2 linked regions of the Struthio camelus genome follow. The protein of the gene in region 1 interacts with the protein of each later gene in a pairwise test. Links are inferred from orthologs where the notes say so. Each region holds a gene or a part of one and is shown in the gene's direction. Other genes may lie near its edges.

The links.
Region 2: the proteins of SATB1 (region 1) and TOPORS interact in a two-hybrid assay, tested with the Homo sapiens proteins (2 studies listed by BioGRID and IntAct). The link is inferred for Struthio camelus from reciprocal best matches to the Homo sapiens genes SATB1 and TOPORS.

Annotation. Positions count from the first base shown.
Region 1 is NC_090943.1:42,031,781-42,039,982, reverse strand, and holds the start of SATB1 (DNA-binding protein SATB1), read left to right. Parts: upstream 1-4,889; 5' UTR 4,890-5,273; coding exon of another isoform or gene 5,274-5,277; intron 5,278-7,405; exon of another isoform or gene 7,406-7,636; intron 7,637-8,202. UniProt on the Homo sapiens protein: Crucial silencing factor contributing to the initiation of X inactivation mediated by Xist RNA that occurs during embryogenesis and in lymphoma.
Region 2 is NC_090982.1:18,069,023-18,076,773, forward strand, and holds the start of TOPORS (E3 ubiquitin-protein ligase Topors), read left to right. Parts: upstream 1-4,246; 5' UTR 4,247-4,348; intron 4,349-5,711; 5' UTR 5,712-5,714; coding exon 5,715-7,751. Other genes in the region: sperm-associated antigen 4 protein-like, read left to right, coding at 1-55, 410-577, 922-1,011, 1,882-2,049. UniProt on the Homo sapiens protein: Functions as an E3 ubiquitin-protein ligase and as an E3 SUMO1-protein ligase. Probable tumor suppressor involved in cell growth, cell proliferation and apoptosis that regulates p53/TP53 stability through ubiquitin-dependent degradation.

The DNA of each region.
Region 1 (8,202 bases):
TATTATACATAACCTGTATTTGTAAAAGTAGAGACAGTCACCTGGTTTCTCCTCACTGGTTTAATCTAACAGTCACTCATTAGAGGCAACAGAACTTTAAAAAGCAGCCAAGACAAACCAGACACCAAAGGGGAAGAGCAGAGAAGGGCAGATAATGTACAGGAAAAGTGGTTACACAAATACAAATATTAACACAACTCCTTCAGTCCCTTCCAAAATGAAAGTTTCAGATTGTCAGAAGGCTGAGAGGGCAATCAGGCAAAACAGAAGCACGTTTGATGTCACTCATGCATCTGTAACAAGTTCATTCTCTCTTCTGTAAAGCAGAAGTTTTACGAAGGTATCTACAGGATGCAGTTTACTTATTTAGGTAATAAGATCTTCTGTAGGAAGATGTGGAGCATCTCTAGTAGTTATCACCTCAGAGAGAAGCTGAATGGACTGAGGTCCTGGGCCTGAAAACATGAACACTCAGTGAAGGAGTGGAGGAAAATCAAGTCAGTCTGGAAAAGGTCAGATGAATTTGCTATTATCCATATGATTCCCCTTTCAGTGAATGAATTTTCAGGAAAGACATTCAGATAGTGAGGTAGCTTAGACCTAAGCAGAGGAGGACAATGCTAACCAACATGTTCAGAAAGATAGTCAAGTGACTACAGAGACGCAGTGAAAGTTGCAGCCATGTTCAGAAAAAGTCATTTGAGTCTCTTCCACTGAGCCACCATCGAGATCAAAAATCAAATAAGGTTTTGAAAAAGCTTATCACGGTTACTTGATATACAATACACACATAGGGCCACTCCTGTGTGGTTGTGTTGTTCACTGCCATTTTCATCTACAACAGATAACACTAATAACATTTGGAGCGTAGTTACTTAAACCAGGCCTTAACATTTCATTAAGCTGCTGAGACAGCTATGGGCAGACCTTGTCATAGCGAGCAGGCTTTTTGCTTTGTTTCAGAAGTACTAACATATGAACAGATTACAGAAATTAGGCAGTTGTTTTCCTATGTCAGAGGAGAAAAGGCTCAAATGTTATTTTCAGTTTCTGGCGTGCTTAGCTTAAAGTAAATCATAAAGAAAGCAAGGAATCATAAGAAGTGGTAGGTAGCGCATACTGTTTTTCACTACTGTAGCATTAGCAATATACTAGGAGCTGAAAATAAGCCATACTTGATTAGGTACATATACTTGGGAATGATATCAGTATCTGAGCATTACTGAGAGTTTTTGTCATTGAGAGATGTGTGGTTTGTGTAAGACAGATCAGAGTTACAGGTCTGTTGAATATCTGTAATGACAGGCAGAAAATGGCCTTCTCTATCAACCAACATAACTCTCAAGTATGCACACAATAATGAAGTATTTCTTCTTAATATTGATCATTCCATTTCAAGCACCAAGTAACATCAGATAAAGAAAATATACATGTATTTATTTGTTTGCAGGATCTATGTGGATGCTCTTAACCCCACTCTACTCCCTGCTCTGCTCCCCTCCCCACCCCTCTCTGCTCAGGTGTAAGCATAAAGATATATGCATATCTGAAAGAATCAGAAAGCATCTGTGATATTTCACAGAGGATCCGATAGCTCTTCTTAAGTAAAAGTGTATCTCCAAGTCACTAGGTCACAGTAGCACTCAAGAAGAGGCACCTCAGGAAGGGCCTCCGACATAGCTACAGTTGGCAGATTCACCACTTTCACTATTCCGCCTGGAAGGGAAAGATTTGGACATAAATATTTTCAGTTCTTGTGGTCTTTAGGTTATGTCAGTAGCCCTTATCAGTAAGATAAGTCATCAATAAGACAGTCTTTGGATAAATGCACTTTTACACATCTTTCAAAGTCCCTAAAACTCAGGGACATCACGTGGATTTCTGATGTTCCTTGGCAGGCTCTGAATCCACAAATTAATGAGTGGATTATTGTGATTCATATGCCACTTTCATTTTTGGCAGGTAACACTAGTGGTATTGGAGGATGATTACTTGAATGAGATCTGCACCCACTTTCCTCAAATCAGCACTCTGAAAAAACTCAGTGATAAAATGTAGCTGTCAGCATAAATACATGCATAAATACAATATATGAACACATATTCTGTAGAGAGTTTTGGCTGTACAGTTCCAGACTTCAGGGATGAGCAGATGCGTACGACTTTCTACAGTTCTTGTAGAAGGCTGGGCAAGCAAACATCTGTGGTGGACATTGAGGAAGAGGAAATTTCAACGTGTCAGTAATAGGAAAGTTACATTGTACACCTGCTTTTTTAGGCATGCCATCTGTGCTCAGTCATACCATAATATAGCTTTGATGGCATGCCACAACTAAAGGGCAGGCAGTATACTTGCTTCATTGACATGAATGACAACTTTATAAAACACACTGCTTAATGATATAAATCATAACTTTCAAACACAATATATAGTTATCCTGAATGTTTTCCAATGTTTAGACCTATGCTAATTATTTTCATACTGAAAGCACTGTCGAAGCATTAGAGTGAAAACCAGTGCACACTAGGTAAGCAATAGCACCTTATCTATACTAATACTGAACTTCACAGTATATTTTGTTGGCCTGTAATTACCCCATGACATCCAGTGAATATTGTTTACCATCACCTAATAATAAGCAATTCTGATTCCATTACTGCACACAATCTCATATTAAGTTTCTTCTTTCCAAAGTAAACTGCCTGTGAAGTTCAAAGGTATCACTACGTTTTCTAAAAATCTGGATAAATATTTTATGTAGAAAAGGAAATGTGACCTCAAAAATTTGTATTTTCATTAATACATAAAATCATTGGGGAAAAAAAAGGTTTATATTAGAATTCTTTCTTAAAGAGGCATTTTCCGTAGTGTACTTTGGCGTCTTTAAGTGGTAGCATGATCTAAATCCATAATTCAGTTCCAGTCCTGGATCTACTCTTCAATCCATGTGTGGCCTCAGTCAAAATGTATTAAATTTTCCTGTTTCAGTTTCCCTGACTCTAAAGTGGGAATAACATGACTAACCCAAATAGCTTAGTTGCAATTTATAAGATTGAATAACTTGATGATTGGATTTCTGAGACATGAAACATGATTACTATTAGGATTCAATGACCAACCAGGCAGAAGAGTGTGATACAAATACAGGAGATGGGTCTTTGACTACAGAAAACGTGACAACCAGTCAGTCAGTGAGGAGGAAGCTCTAAGGAATGGTTAGCTGTACTTGTAAAAGTGTGAAAGTTCCCATTGCACTTTCTTTTTAGCATCCCATACTACCTAAAGATCGTAAAAAGCTAAGCCCTCTCCAAGAAATGAACAGGTCCAAAACACTACATGCAAAGAAATTTTTATCTGCGTAACAGAGCTAGGTATTGTTTTCTAGTGGAAATGTCAGAATTGATTAAAGGCTTGGCATTTCTATTTAAAATCAGCCAGTGCATGATACATTTTAAAGGGAGAAAAATATAGAGGCCAAATAACATGGAGATAACAGGCTAAATTAACTTCTACTGCTGCTGCAGTAACTTGGTAGCCAATGTATTGGGGCCAAATTTATAAATGGGAGTGCCTCATAATAACTATGAGAAAGTATTCTTCCTGCCAGCAAAGTCAATATTATTAATTGTTATTACCATTATTAACCTTTGGGCTTGTGTATCCTCCGTGGATTAATGATTATTCAATAACTGTGTTACAAGGCTGCACTTTCTAATACCAATTAATAGAAGAGCATACCACTGGTTTACTAGGAAAAGTGTTGACGTATCAACTTCACAGTGTCAGTCTTGTTTGTAAGACATGTAAAGGTGCCTACATGAATTGCATTTGTCAATTCCCAGAGCTGAAAGATGAAATCTGCCACAAAGTCAAAATAAATAAAAAAGGAGATCGGGCTGACATCCAGGGTCCCCTCTCTTCTCAGGCTCCTAGGGAATAAGAAACAGCCTCAGCTTTCAGGGAAACCTGCCCTCACTGCCAGGTTCACTCTCCAGGAACTCCACTTCCAAACTGTGCATCAGCGAAGAAGGGAAGGAAGGTCTTAAAAACAAAAGAACAGAGGAAAAAGTCCCTCCCCAAGGAGAAATTAAACGGAAAAAAAAAAAAGAGAATTCCGAAACAGCGGTACTGTGGAGCACGTCGTGCCAGGTGAAACATCAGGCGAGGGAACCGCGGGTGAAGCGCGGCGGCACCCGGCCCCGCTGCCGCTGCCGGCCCCGACGGCGCGGCCCCGCTGCCGCCCGGCTCGGGCGGGTCGCCACCACCGCGGCGCGGCCCCTCCGCAGGCTGCCGGCCCTCGCCCCGCAGCCCCCCGCCGCCTGCGCGGCCGCGGAGCTGCGCGCCGTCAGAGCCGGTCCTGCGCCGCCGCCGCTCGCCGCAGCAGCGCGGTGCCATCCCGGCCCGAAACGGCCCCGCCGGCGCGGCCTTCCCGCGGGGGCAGCCGCGGGCGGGAATGAAGCAGCGGAGGGAGGAAGGAGGGAAGGGAAAGCGGTGGGGCCGCGGTGCTCCGCGGGGGGCTCCGACCTTTCTCGCTGCTCTGTGTGTGTGTGTGTGTGTGTGTGTGTGTGTCCTACCTGGCTCCCTGCGCGGCGGAGGGGGCGGCGGGGACACACACACACACACACACCCCCCACCTCTCGCACTCCCACCGAGTCAGCGAGCAGAGAGGAGGAGGCACCACACACACACACACAAAAACGCGGCTCGCCCCCCACTCCGCTGCCGCGCAGGGCGGCGCGCAGCCCCCCCCCCCCGCCCCAACCCAGGCTCCCCGCGCCCGCGCTGCCCCGACGGCACCGCCGCCCCCTCCCCCGGGGGCACCGCACCCCGCCCGAGGGCGCCGTGCGCGGCGGCCGGGAGGGGAGCGCGCACACACGCACACGCGCGCGCAGGCAGAGCTGCCCCACGCCGGTACCTGCTGCCCTGGTGTTTTCCGTCCGGGCTCCTCCTCGCTCAGGCAGCTCGGGAGGGGAGCCGAGCGGGCAGGCGCGCGTGTGCGTGCGCGCGTGTGCGTGTGCGTGTGTGTGCGTGTGTGTGTGTGTGTGTGCGCGAGAGAGAGACACAGAGAGAGACACAGAGAGAGAGAGAGAGAGAGAGAGAGAGAGAGAGAGAGAGAGACTCTCCCCCTTCCCCCCTCCCCCTCCTCCTCCTCGCTCTCCTTCCTTTAAACGCCCACTCCCGATGGGTGAACAGACAACTTGAACTTCAGTGCAATTAACTTCGCCGGCGCCTCGGAAGCCGGAGGTGTCGCCGGCCTCGCCCGCCGCGCTCCCATGCGTGAGTCGCTCCCCGCTCCTCGGCCTCTCTGGGGGGAGGGAGGGAAGGAGGTGGGGGGGGAATGGGGGGGGGCAGACGGGGCAGCGCAGCGCGGGGGGCACAAGCCGCGGAGGCGGGCGCGGGCGCGCAGGGCCGGCGCCGGCAGCGCGGGGGACGGCGGGGAGGCTCCGCGACGGGGCGCCGCTGCCCGCCCGCCGCCCGGCCGCGCACCTGCCGCCGCCGCCCCGCGGGGGCGAGAGGGAGGACAAAAAAAAAAAAAAAACCACGAGCCGTCCGAAAAGTTTGGCAAACTTCTCGCGCGGCCCCGCGCGCCTCCCCGACGCGGGGCACCGCGGCCGGCGGCGCCCGGGAGAGCGCGGGGCGAGGAAGGCGGGAGGGGGGGAGGGAGCCGTCGTGGGCCGCGGGCGCGGCGAGGCCGCCGGGCGCCAGCGCGGAGCTGCGCGCTCCCCCGCGGCGCGGCGCGGTGCGGTGCGGAGGTGCGGGGGGCCGCAGCAGCCCCAGCGCCTCCCCCACAACCCCGTCCGTGCTCCGCGCTTTTATTCTGATTTTTTCCGCTCCGCCGGCAAAACCGCCGCCCGAGGTTGTGCCCCCGTCGCCGTCCTTTTGCCGGCGTCTCCGGCCGCTGCCCGGGCGGAGCGCTCCTGACAGGCGGCACCTGCCCGGTTTTAAGTTTTCCTTTGCCAGGCTCCAGGCTTCGCTGCCTGCTGGAGAAACTTCGCTAAAACGCAAGTTCGCTGAAACACTTCGCACCAGCTCCTAAGCTGAAATGCGTTTAAAATGACGAAAGCTCGCCATCGGTTTTTGTTCGCTCCAACGGAGTGCGGTGCTTCCGTGAAAATAACTCACAAATTCAGATTCACAGACTCTAAGGCGTATGATCTAGCAGGACCCTTTCCTTGCAGTCCCTGCTTCTTGGGTGTGAGTTAGCAGCCGTCCCTTATTTCTACTTTATATTATTTTGGTATAGTACATTCATATATTTGTCTGCTGTAGTCTGCTGGCAAACATTAGCATTCAAGCTTACATTTTTGACAAATGTGCAGACAGGAATAGCATGAATAGGCATCTTAAATATTAACAACCTAAGCATCTGTTGTGAAACAAATTTAATATATTTACTCTGTTTTTCTCACATTGTTAGAAAAGGTTACAATAAGTGTAAAATTTCAACTTTAGTTAGCACAAGGAATGCTTGGATATTTCACTATCTCTTCAAGCATTTAACACACTCACTAGATAGAAATGTGTCAAATCAGGCGCACTATTCAAAAAACAACTTGCAACAGTAAGCATAGAGTGTAAAGGCATGAATGTAGGATGTTCTCTGTAATTTGTATCATCTCATTACTCTGCAGCACTGTTTGTAGAATTTTAGAGTGCTCTTTTCAATCCCGTGTTCCTATATGCTTTTTAATACATTTACGCATACGCTCATTTTCCATTTCATTTTCCATTTCAGATTGTTGTTGGTATTACCTTGCTTTTCAAGTCGAAGTAATGATTTGTGCAGAAATGTGTAATCACGTAGAGTAGGTAACAAAAAGAGCAAGCAGAAGAGGTAACGTGTGCAAGTGTAAGTGTGCATCTGAACAGATAGCACACACACATTATAAGGCAATAGAAGAAAAATTAAAATCGTTGGTTAATATGCTATATATGCCCACTCTTGAATACAAACAGCTAGTGGAAAAGAAACAACTGGCTCCAAGGAATTCCTCCTTCCCTGGAATAAGACTATTCTGAGTAGAACAAGAACAAGAGTAAAGTTTCCAAAAAGCCTGTAGAGTTATTTCAGGAATCAGTGCATTCCTTCTCTTTTTCCCACAAGTTCAAATATGTAATAAATAAGTCCTTTGTATGCAAAAGAGTTTACTGGAACAAAAAATATTTAAATGGAATGCTTTTTGTGCGTACACTTTAAAAAAGTAGCAGTTTCCTTTTTAGACTCTTTCTTGTTGATGCTTTAAATAGGAAAGTAACTATCACAGTTTCTGTTTCTGGACTCCTGTTATTTTAGCGATATGCATAAATCCTAACCTGCTCCGTACCCCTGAGAAAGCTATAAAGCAGATAAAAGTCGGTCTGTGGCTCACTAATGGCACATGCTGTTTTGCGCGAGAGAGAAACAGAGAGGATCTATCTCAGCAGCCCAAATCTGCATTTGAGGAGGGTCCCATTGGGCTCTGCAGCGTAGGCCCCAGAGGTCAGCCGGGCGGCACCTGCCTTGATTGCTGCAGCTCTTTTGGGACTCCCAAATGGTGCCATCCGCTGCCCCGTAAGCATCCGACGGGTGCCCGAACGCCAAATCCTCCGGGGAACGTGGGCACACTCACCCCTTCGTCGCAACAGCATCTGGAGGGTAGGAAAGTCTTGAACGCGCACCAACTTACGCTGCATTTCTGGTTTTGGGTGGAGAGGGGTTTAGAAGCGTGCGACTGCAGTTTAGAAAATGAAGCTGGGGTATTTTGGCGTTCTTGAAAAAACAAATGTTTTAACAATCAAATATTGTGTCAGCTACTCAATTTTTAGAAGTACTTCTATTGTCACCTGTTTTTTAATCTGAGTGTCATAGATAAATTTGAAGTCCTTCTTAAGGTTTCCAGCTGTATTTGGAGAAAAAGCCAAGCAGATTCCTCTATTTATTAACAAAATAGATTGCAGTATATTGAAAAAATGTCATTAAAAGCAGATTTATGAATTTAAAATGGAGGAAATATGATTTTTGAAAAGTTTTAGTCATATTTCTAAGATCTACGCTATTTTAACATAGATTCTACTGAAGGATTTTATTGCCTTCCTGTACATAACTGCCATTGCTCTCTCTAGATATATTTAATATATATCCAATGAAGGCACAAACTTTCATTCTACAACAGTTTAAACACATCTGGAACATTTTACTTTCTTATAATTTATGTTAATAGA
Region 2 (7,751 bases), on another chromosome or scaffold:
CTGCAGGGCTTTTTGGTGCTTCTACTCTCCAAACCCTCCAGATACTATTTTGCAGGTATTGTAGCAGAAGTCATCCATGCTGCTTCAGTTCCTTCCTGGGCAGTGGGTGACAAAGCCCAGGGGATCTCCCCTCTGGCCAGCAGGGTTGCTCAAGGGCCTGGCGGTGATCAGGTTCCTGACACCAGAGGGTTGACTTGCTAGTCTCCCTCAGGAGCAGGACTCAACCGAACGGAACTGAGTGGCCGCATCCTGCCCACAATCCCTGGTCATAGCTGGCTGAGGGAGTTTCTCCTTCGAGGCCCATTTGCCTACCTCACCTCCGACAGGCCCTTTTCAGAGGGGCTGGGAGGTGGCGGAGGTGGCCTGCCTCGCTCCCTCACCATTCACTGCTGTGGCACTCTGCTTTCAGCCGGACGTTTCCCCGGGACAGTGCTGGCCTTTCCAAGGGTCGCAGGGCCAGGTGGTCATTTGGCTGCCTGCACGGATACAACCAACCGCCATCACCGTGCAGCACATCTACAAGGCAGTCTCTCCATCTGGGACCGTCAGCAGTGCCCCCCGGGATTTCACTGTCTCTGTAAGTCTCTGCTGGGCTGCAATGAGGCCGTGGGGAAAAGGCAGAGCAGGCACTCGCTTGTCTTGGGGCATCCGCTGGGGTTTGGGCCTTGCTCTCTCGTAAGCACTGCCCCAAGAGAATATTTCAAGGGACGGGGTGCTTTTCTCAAGACCTGCTCGGTGCTTTTTGGCCGTGCATCTCAGGGCAGTCAACCCCCCTCACGGAGGAGTCTCAGCTTCACACCATAACCTGTACTACACTACCGCTCGAGCCACGGGAGAGGGCCGGCGGGTAACAGGTCCGGATCCAGCGCGTGCGTTTCCCCGTCCTCAGGCGGAGCCTGACCCTTGTGCTTTGTCTCTCAGGGAGTGGACGAGGAGGGAGAAGAAGAAACTCTCCTTGGGACATTCACCTACGACGTGGGAAAAGAGGCCCTTCAGACCTTCCCCCTGAAGGTACAGTAAGTGCGTGTGGGCAGAGACCAGGCAGGAACGTGGCTGTGCCCGCACGTCCGTGGCAGAAAGAGCATCCACAGTTCCTCCCCGGGGGGCAGAGGGGCCAGACCCACAGCCGAGGCACAGCGGGGTCTGAAGGCGCACCAAGCAGTGCGCAGCGGTGGCAGCAAAACAAGAGCGAGGGCAGGGTCGCGCCCATGGGAGTGCAGGACCCTGGAGCTCCCAGGCTGCACCTGTGGCTTTCAGCAAAGCTGGTTGCACGCGGGGCCTTTCCATCAGCACGAAGCCTGCGTGCCGGACGGAAAGACAGACATCGGGCAGCGAAAGCCAGACGGCAGCTCCATCGAGCTGCGGCAGCACCTGGCAGCAGGGTGGACGGCTTCCCTGGGCTCTCGCTCCTGCCGGGAAGGCCAGCCGAGGAGGAACCGGCTGTTTGGAGGGGTTGATCACCCAGCTGCCCCACGTGCGGCAGCCCCGCACCAGCCTCTCTGCTAGCACACAGGAAGCAGCAGCGGGAAGGGGCAGCAGCAACGGGGACCGAGCCCAGCCAGGGCAGGCGGTGGCAGGCAGGACGCAGGCGCCTTCCCTCCGCAGCAGGACTTTCCCTGTGTTCCTGGCAGTCCTGCTGGCAGCCCGCCTCACACGGCCACAGCTGCTTTCACCCACTCTCGGAGGCCACGCACACGCCCAGAGCCGTCCTTTGCAGCCCTCGCTGCAGAGGGGAAGAGGGAGAGACAAGCTGTCCACCTCAACCAGGGCCACAGCTTGGCCCTTAACAGGGCCAGGGCTGGCAGAGGGAGGGCCCTGCGGTGTACTGTCCCTCTTTGCACCCCACTAACCACGTTTCTTCTTCCCACGACGTCTCTGCAGGAGGAGCTGTCCAGAGCCTTTCAATATATAAAGCTTTTTGTCCAGAGCAACTGGGGGAACCCGGAGTACACCTGCATTTATCGAGTGCAGGTGCACGGGAAGGTGGCAAGCCAGACCTCATCTCAGGAACCCAGAGACAGCCTGCGACCCCTCCTCAATAAGAATTAAAGACATGAACACAAGAACAGGCAGGCCCAGGCTAATGGCAGCGTCCAGCAGCACAGGAGCCCTGGGGGAAGGGCAGCCCCAAGGCAGCTCCCCGGCCCGGCCCGGCCCGGCCCGGCCCGGCCCGGCCCGGCCCGGGGTGCTGGCAGAGGCCGTGGTAGCGACAGGACCGGGGTACACAGCAAGGACCCAGGGTAAGAGCAAGGTGGGGAAGGGCAGGCAGGGGCCACCCCATGGTCCGGGGAAACAGCACGGCCCATAGTTTTACACAGCAGCCTGGGAGAGCAGCAGGGCAGGGGAAGACAGAAAAGCCGGGATAACGGCAGCCCCAGGGTCTCGGCAGACCCGGGGTAACAGCAGCCCCACCTAACAGCAACCCTAGTGTCAACGGCAGCTGTGCCCTAACGGCAGCCTCGCCAGCACCACGCTGATGGCGGCACCACCGTAAAGGCAGCTCTGTGTATCGGCCGCCCCCTCTCACAAAGCGCCACACTCTCCCGTGCAGTCAAATTCCCCGCGATTCCCAGCAAGCCTTGCCCAGCTCCTCCAGCTGCGCAAACTACAGCCAGAAGAGGGGCCGGACTTGGGGAGGAAAGGAGCACGTTTGTGCGGGGTGCGGGGAGCGGAGCACCTCTGCAAGGAGGTGCTCGGCACTGCTAGGCAGCTCTCCCAAAGCAAGAGCACGGGCGGTCGCTTCCCTTCGCCGCCCCCGCAGCCAAGGCAGAGGCTTCTCCCTCCGCAGAAGTGCGCACAGAGCGCGCCAGCGCCAGCGCCTGCGCTCCGCGGCAGCTGAAGCTTTCCCCTGTGGTTCGTGCTCTGCTGCTTGTGCTCGACACTCAGGGAAGCTGAAGTGCTGGTGGAAACCTGGCACTGCTGGTGCCAGCTGTGTACACGAGAGGACACTGGCCACGCTTTGTCCGACTGCACCTGGGCCAAGGCACTTCAGAGACCAGAGGAATCGCTCCAGCCACTTCTGAAGGAAGAACCTGGGGGGCATCGCTGCGGATGAAACCTTCATTTCCTCCTTCAGCAAAGCGATGCAGGATCTGCTCACATCCCAGCTAGCAATAAAGCTGGTTGACAGAAGACTCTCCATCCTCTTTCTTCCGACCCGGACACAACAGACGTCGCAGCCCTCTCAGGAATGCAGCACAGCCTAACCCTCCAGTCAAATTCCTCCTGCGGCTGTAGAACAGTCCTCTAAGTGACAGCCCTTACTGCTCCCCTCCGTGCTCCCGCACGCTCCTCGTCCCTGCTCAGTCCTAGAAAACACTCTCTTGGCTTTGGCCTTCAGGTGCAGTTTGTACTGGCTTCAGCACAGGCCACGAGCTCGGCACGCTTGGTGCCACGCCAACACCTCCTGAGCTCTTCTTGCTGCTCGGCCAACAGCCTGTGCGTCACCACCTCGCGGGACAGCTGTAGGAGGAGAGGCCGCGAATTAGCACAGCAGAGGCAGCATTCCCTGCGCACCAGCGGGCTGCTCTCTGGCCAGTCGTCCTCTGCACACACAGACAGAGGGACAGTTTGGGGAAAGGGAGCAGCCGCCCGCCAGGAAGGGAACGCTGGCAAACGCAGCAAAGGGAAGACGGGTGCCGCCGTACGCCGGCCAACGACAGCTGCCCGTGTTTGGCCAGGCCGCAAAGGCCGTGCAGACCCCGAAGACCCCTCGCGCGTGTCTCCAGCGGGCAGGCACGGCGCTGGAACCCCCCGCAGCCGCCTCCTCGGGGCCGAGGCAGCCTAAGGGGCCTCTCTCGGCCTCTGCCGCGGCGGCCCAGCGCGGCCGGTCCTGCTGCTGCCCGCGCGGCCCCGGCGCTCAGGCGCGGCGCAGACAGCTGCTGCACCAAGCGGCCTCGCTCCGCCGCGTCCCGCCGGGCAGCGGGGGCGCGAAGACGCCCAGTCCCTGATCCCGGCCGCTGGCAAGCGACGCCAAGCGGGAGCCCCGGCCCGGCCCGGCCCCCGCCGCTCCCGCCCGCCGACAAGATGTCGGCGCCGGCGGCCCCCGCGCGCCGGAAGTGACGCTGCCGCGGCGGCGCCCGTCTTCCGGCCCGGGGCTGCGCAGCGCCCGGCGCTGCCTCGCTGGCGGCGGGGTCCCCGGGGCAACGCGCTGCCGCCGCCGCCGCCGCCGCCGCCCATGTCCGAGCCGCGGCGCCGCCTGGGCGAGAGCGGCCGCCGCCGCCACCCCGCGGGGGACCCGCGCCGGGAGGCTGCCGGCCACTGCCCGCGGCGCCAGCGGCTGAATGCGGCGGCCGCGGCTGCGGCCCGGGGCCCGCGGCGGCGGGCGGCCGAGGAGGCCCCGGCGGCGGTGAGTGCGGCCGGGCCGGGCCGGGCCGGACCGGACCGGGGGTTGGCGCGCGGGGCGCTGCGGTCGGCGGGGGGAGGCGGGGAGGTGCGAATCCGTCTCTTTGGGACAGGTGTGCCGCGGGATCCCTTGTTAATGAGAACGTTGTTGGGAAAGAATGAGGAAACCGTCGCTGAAGTGTGAGGAGGGAGGGAGAGGGAGTCCTGCCTGGAGTCTTCGGAAATGCCGGCATGTTTCAAGTCCCAGTAAAAACTTGCAGCGCTTTAGATTCTGGTTGTGGTGGCAGAGGGAGGGAGGCCTGGAATTGCTTCCGTATTTTAAAAATTATCTGTTGATATGTGCATGAGTTAAATCGCAGCAATTCATGTATTAGTTTCAATTGGCAAGAATATCTTCATGGTTTCCACAAAAATCATAATTTGCTGTAACAGTACAGACTAAAGAACTTAGTGCAGGCATGCTGCTAGTGATCTTTTGTATGTATTTCGGGGGCTGCTTTATCTGACTGTCTACTTCTACCTACCAACCATAAATCTTACTAAGTGTGTCTGTTGCTTTTCCTGTTCATTTTTGATGCATCTTACTCTGTAGAGACCTTCCAGCAGAATAGAATACTCCAGCGCTGACTGCCAGGAGAACTGCCCCAAAGATACAGTGCCAGTCAGTTACCCATGTGCTTCATCCCTGAAGAGCTTTGTAGACAGAGTCTGCAGCAAAGAAAGAGCAAAACAGTACAGTGGGGAAAAGGTGTCATTAGTAAAAGAAGAATGTAGAGTTGAAAAGCAAAACAGTGGGCCTTTCTAAATGAGAAGAACAAACACCAGTGTCAGGACTGAATGTCTAAGAATGGGAAGAATATCAGTGTTTTGGGGGCCAGTACTGATCAGTTGCTGAGGTTTCTGGTATGTCCACCTCCATAAGTTAATAGCTATTTTAGGAGCGCTGAATACCTGGTAGCACAGGCTTCTGCCTTCCTCTAAAAGAGGTGGTGGTGCAAATGAGAACTTCCACTGAAAAACAGAGAGGACAGTTGTGCTCTTGCTAGGGAAGATAGCTTAGTTTTCTTCAATGGGCAGAGCAGGATTTCTAGAACTGCAGTTCCTAAGCCTGGTCAATTTTCAGGGTCATGCCTTCTTCTCTCTATCTTGGGAAAAAATTTAACCGTGACATCTAACTTCTTGAGGGAAGCAGTAGCCTGAGGAGAGGCCAGAAAAAGTAGTTATATCATTGTGGTTTTTTGTTTGACACCATATCGACCTTATGTTTTTTACAAACTAAAAGAAGGATAGCAGAGGTTTCTTTGTCTAGATATTCACATCCTTTCCTCTCAGGAAGGTAATGATCTTTTTGTGTTTGTCTTTTGTAGAACATGACTTCAGCAGAGTTTGCAGTGGATAGCAACTTTTCACCGAAAGCTAGCACAAGCAAGCTGCATCAGACAGTGCCAACAGATGCATCTCCTGACTCTAAATGCCCGATCTGTTTGGATAGATTCGACAATGTTGCGTATCTAGATCGTTGCTTGCATAAGTTTTGTTTCCGTTGTGTCCAGGAGTGGTCAAAAAACAAAGCAGAATGCCCACTCTGCAAACAACCTTTTCATTCTATTTTCCATACAGTTCGTGCTGAGGATGACTTTAAAGAGTACATACTCCGACCATCAGAAAATGGCTCTTTTGCCAGTCCTGATGGCCGGAGATTTCGTTATCGTACTACGTTGACAAGGGAACGTCGCACCTCATCTTACCATCGACACACTTCCTCTTCCCGAAGGACGCTGTCCCCTCCAGATAATGGAATATTGTTTGAAGGGTTATCAAGCCAACCAGTGCGGCAGAGAGATGGAGAGATTCAGCAGATGATAAGGAGGCTCGCCTCAAGGAGGCAGGCTAGTGCAGAAGGCAGATCTCTGCGGCAGATTCAGGAGGAGGACATGATCAACTTCCGCAGAGCTCTGTATCGCACTGGTGTGCGTGTTCGTAGTATTCAGGATGGTGGCCGCTATCGAGATATTTCAGCAGAGTTTTTTCGCCGGAACCCTGCTTGCCTTCACAGGTTGGTTCCCTGGTTGAAGCGGGAACTTACAGTCCTATTTGGTGCCCACGGATCTTTAGTTAATATTGTACAGCATATCATCATGAGTAATGTGACAAGGTATGATCTGGAAAGCCAGGCCTTTGCTGATGATTTAAAGCCGTTTTTGCTGAATCGGACTGAACATTTCCTACATGAATTTGTCAGTTTTGCCCGGTGTCCTTTTAATTTAGAGGCGTATGATCAGCATGCCAATTATGACTGTCCTGCTCCATCGTACGATGAAGGAAGCCACTCAGACTCATCAATTATTACAATATCTCCGGATGAAGCAGATTCTCAAGGTCCAGATCACAGTTCATCCGTGACTGGTATTGATCAAGCTCCGTGGGATGATGAAACTCCAGGGCCCTCATATTCCATCTCAGAAGAGGTTCATGCAACCATAGCTTCTCCTTTGGAGACTTCAGAAAGTTCTGATGAGGACTCTGCAACAAAGAGAACTGCAGTGCAAACCCAGATACAGGCTAATGCTGGTTCCAATGACAGTGACTCTTCTTCAGACAATTGTGTTATTGTTGGGTATGTTAAGCCTATAGCTGAGAGGACACCAGAACTGGTTGAGTTGTCTTCGGACTCTGAGGAATCAGTCAAGGAAGAGAAAAGGGAAAATATCAAGAAACAGCAGCCAATCCAGTTTCACAGTTGCAGTGACAGTGAACAAAGCCCGAGTTCCTCACCACACTCTCCTATGTATAACGAGAACCTAGGTAGCTGTAAAAGCTGCTCATCCCCTGCAGCCGAGAAGATGGAGTCAAAAGAGGATGAGGACAAAAGTAAAATAAAAAATTTATCTCCACAGGAATTGATCTGGAGCCCCTCTTCAGGAAGGGACAGGATGTGCTCTCCTTGTAATCACAGACTGTCCAGAAAGAGAAAGTCCAAAAGTCCACAGTCCTATTCACAGCGCAGCAGAGGCAGTCATGGCCACAGGACTAGGAGGGAGCATCGTAGCAAAGACCAGCCTAAAAGGAAACAATCAGGAAGCAGAGAGAGTAGCAAACATAGGAGCAAAAGAAACAAGAGGAGGTCAAGAACCCGTGACTCAAGCATCTCTCGAAAAAGCCAGAGAGACTCTCTAAGTCGTGAGAGCACTATATCCAGAGAAGTAAGCAGATCACGATCCCGTAGCAAAGGCCATGGCAGAAGAAGATCAAGAAGCAGAGACAGTGATCATTATTATATAAGAGACAACTATCAAAGTAGATATCAGTGGGGTTATACTTTTTACAGTCGAAATGTGGTTGGAGATGGCTATGAATCCTCATATAAGAGGAGGACTCAGTCTAGTGCTCACTATTCAAGGCAATCT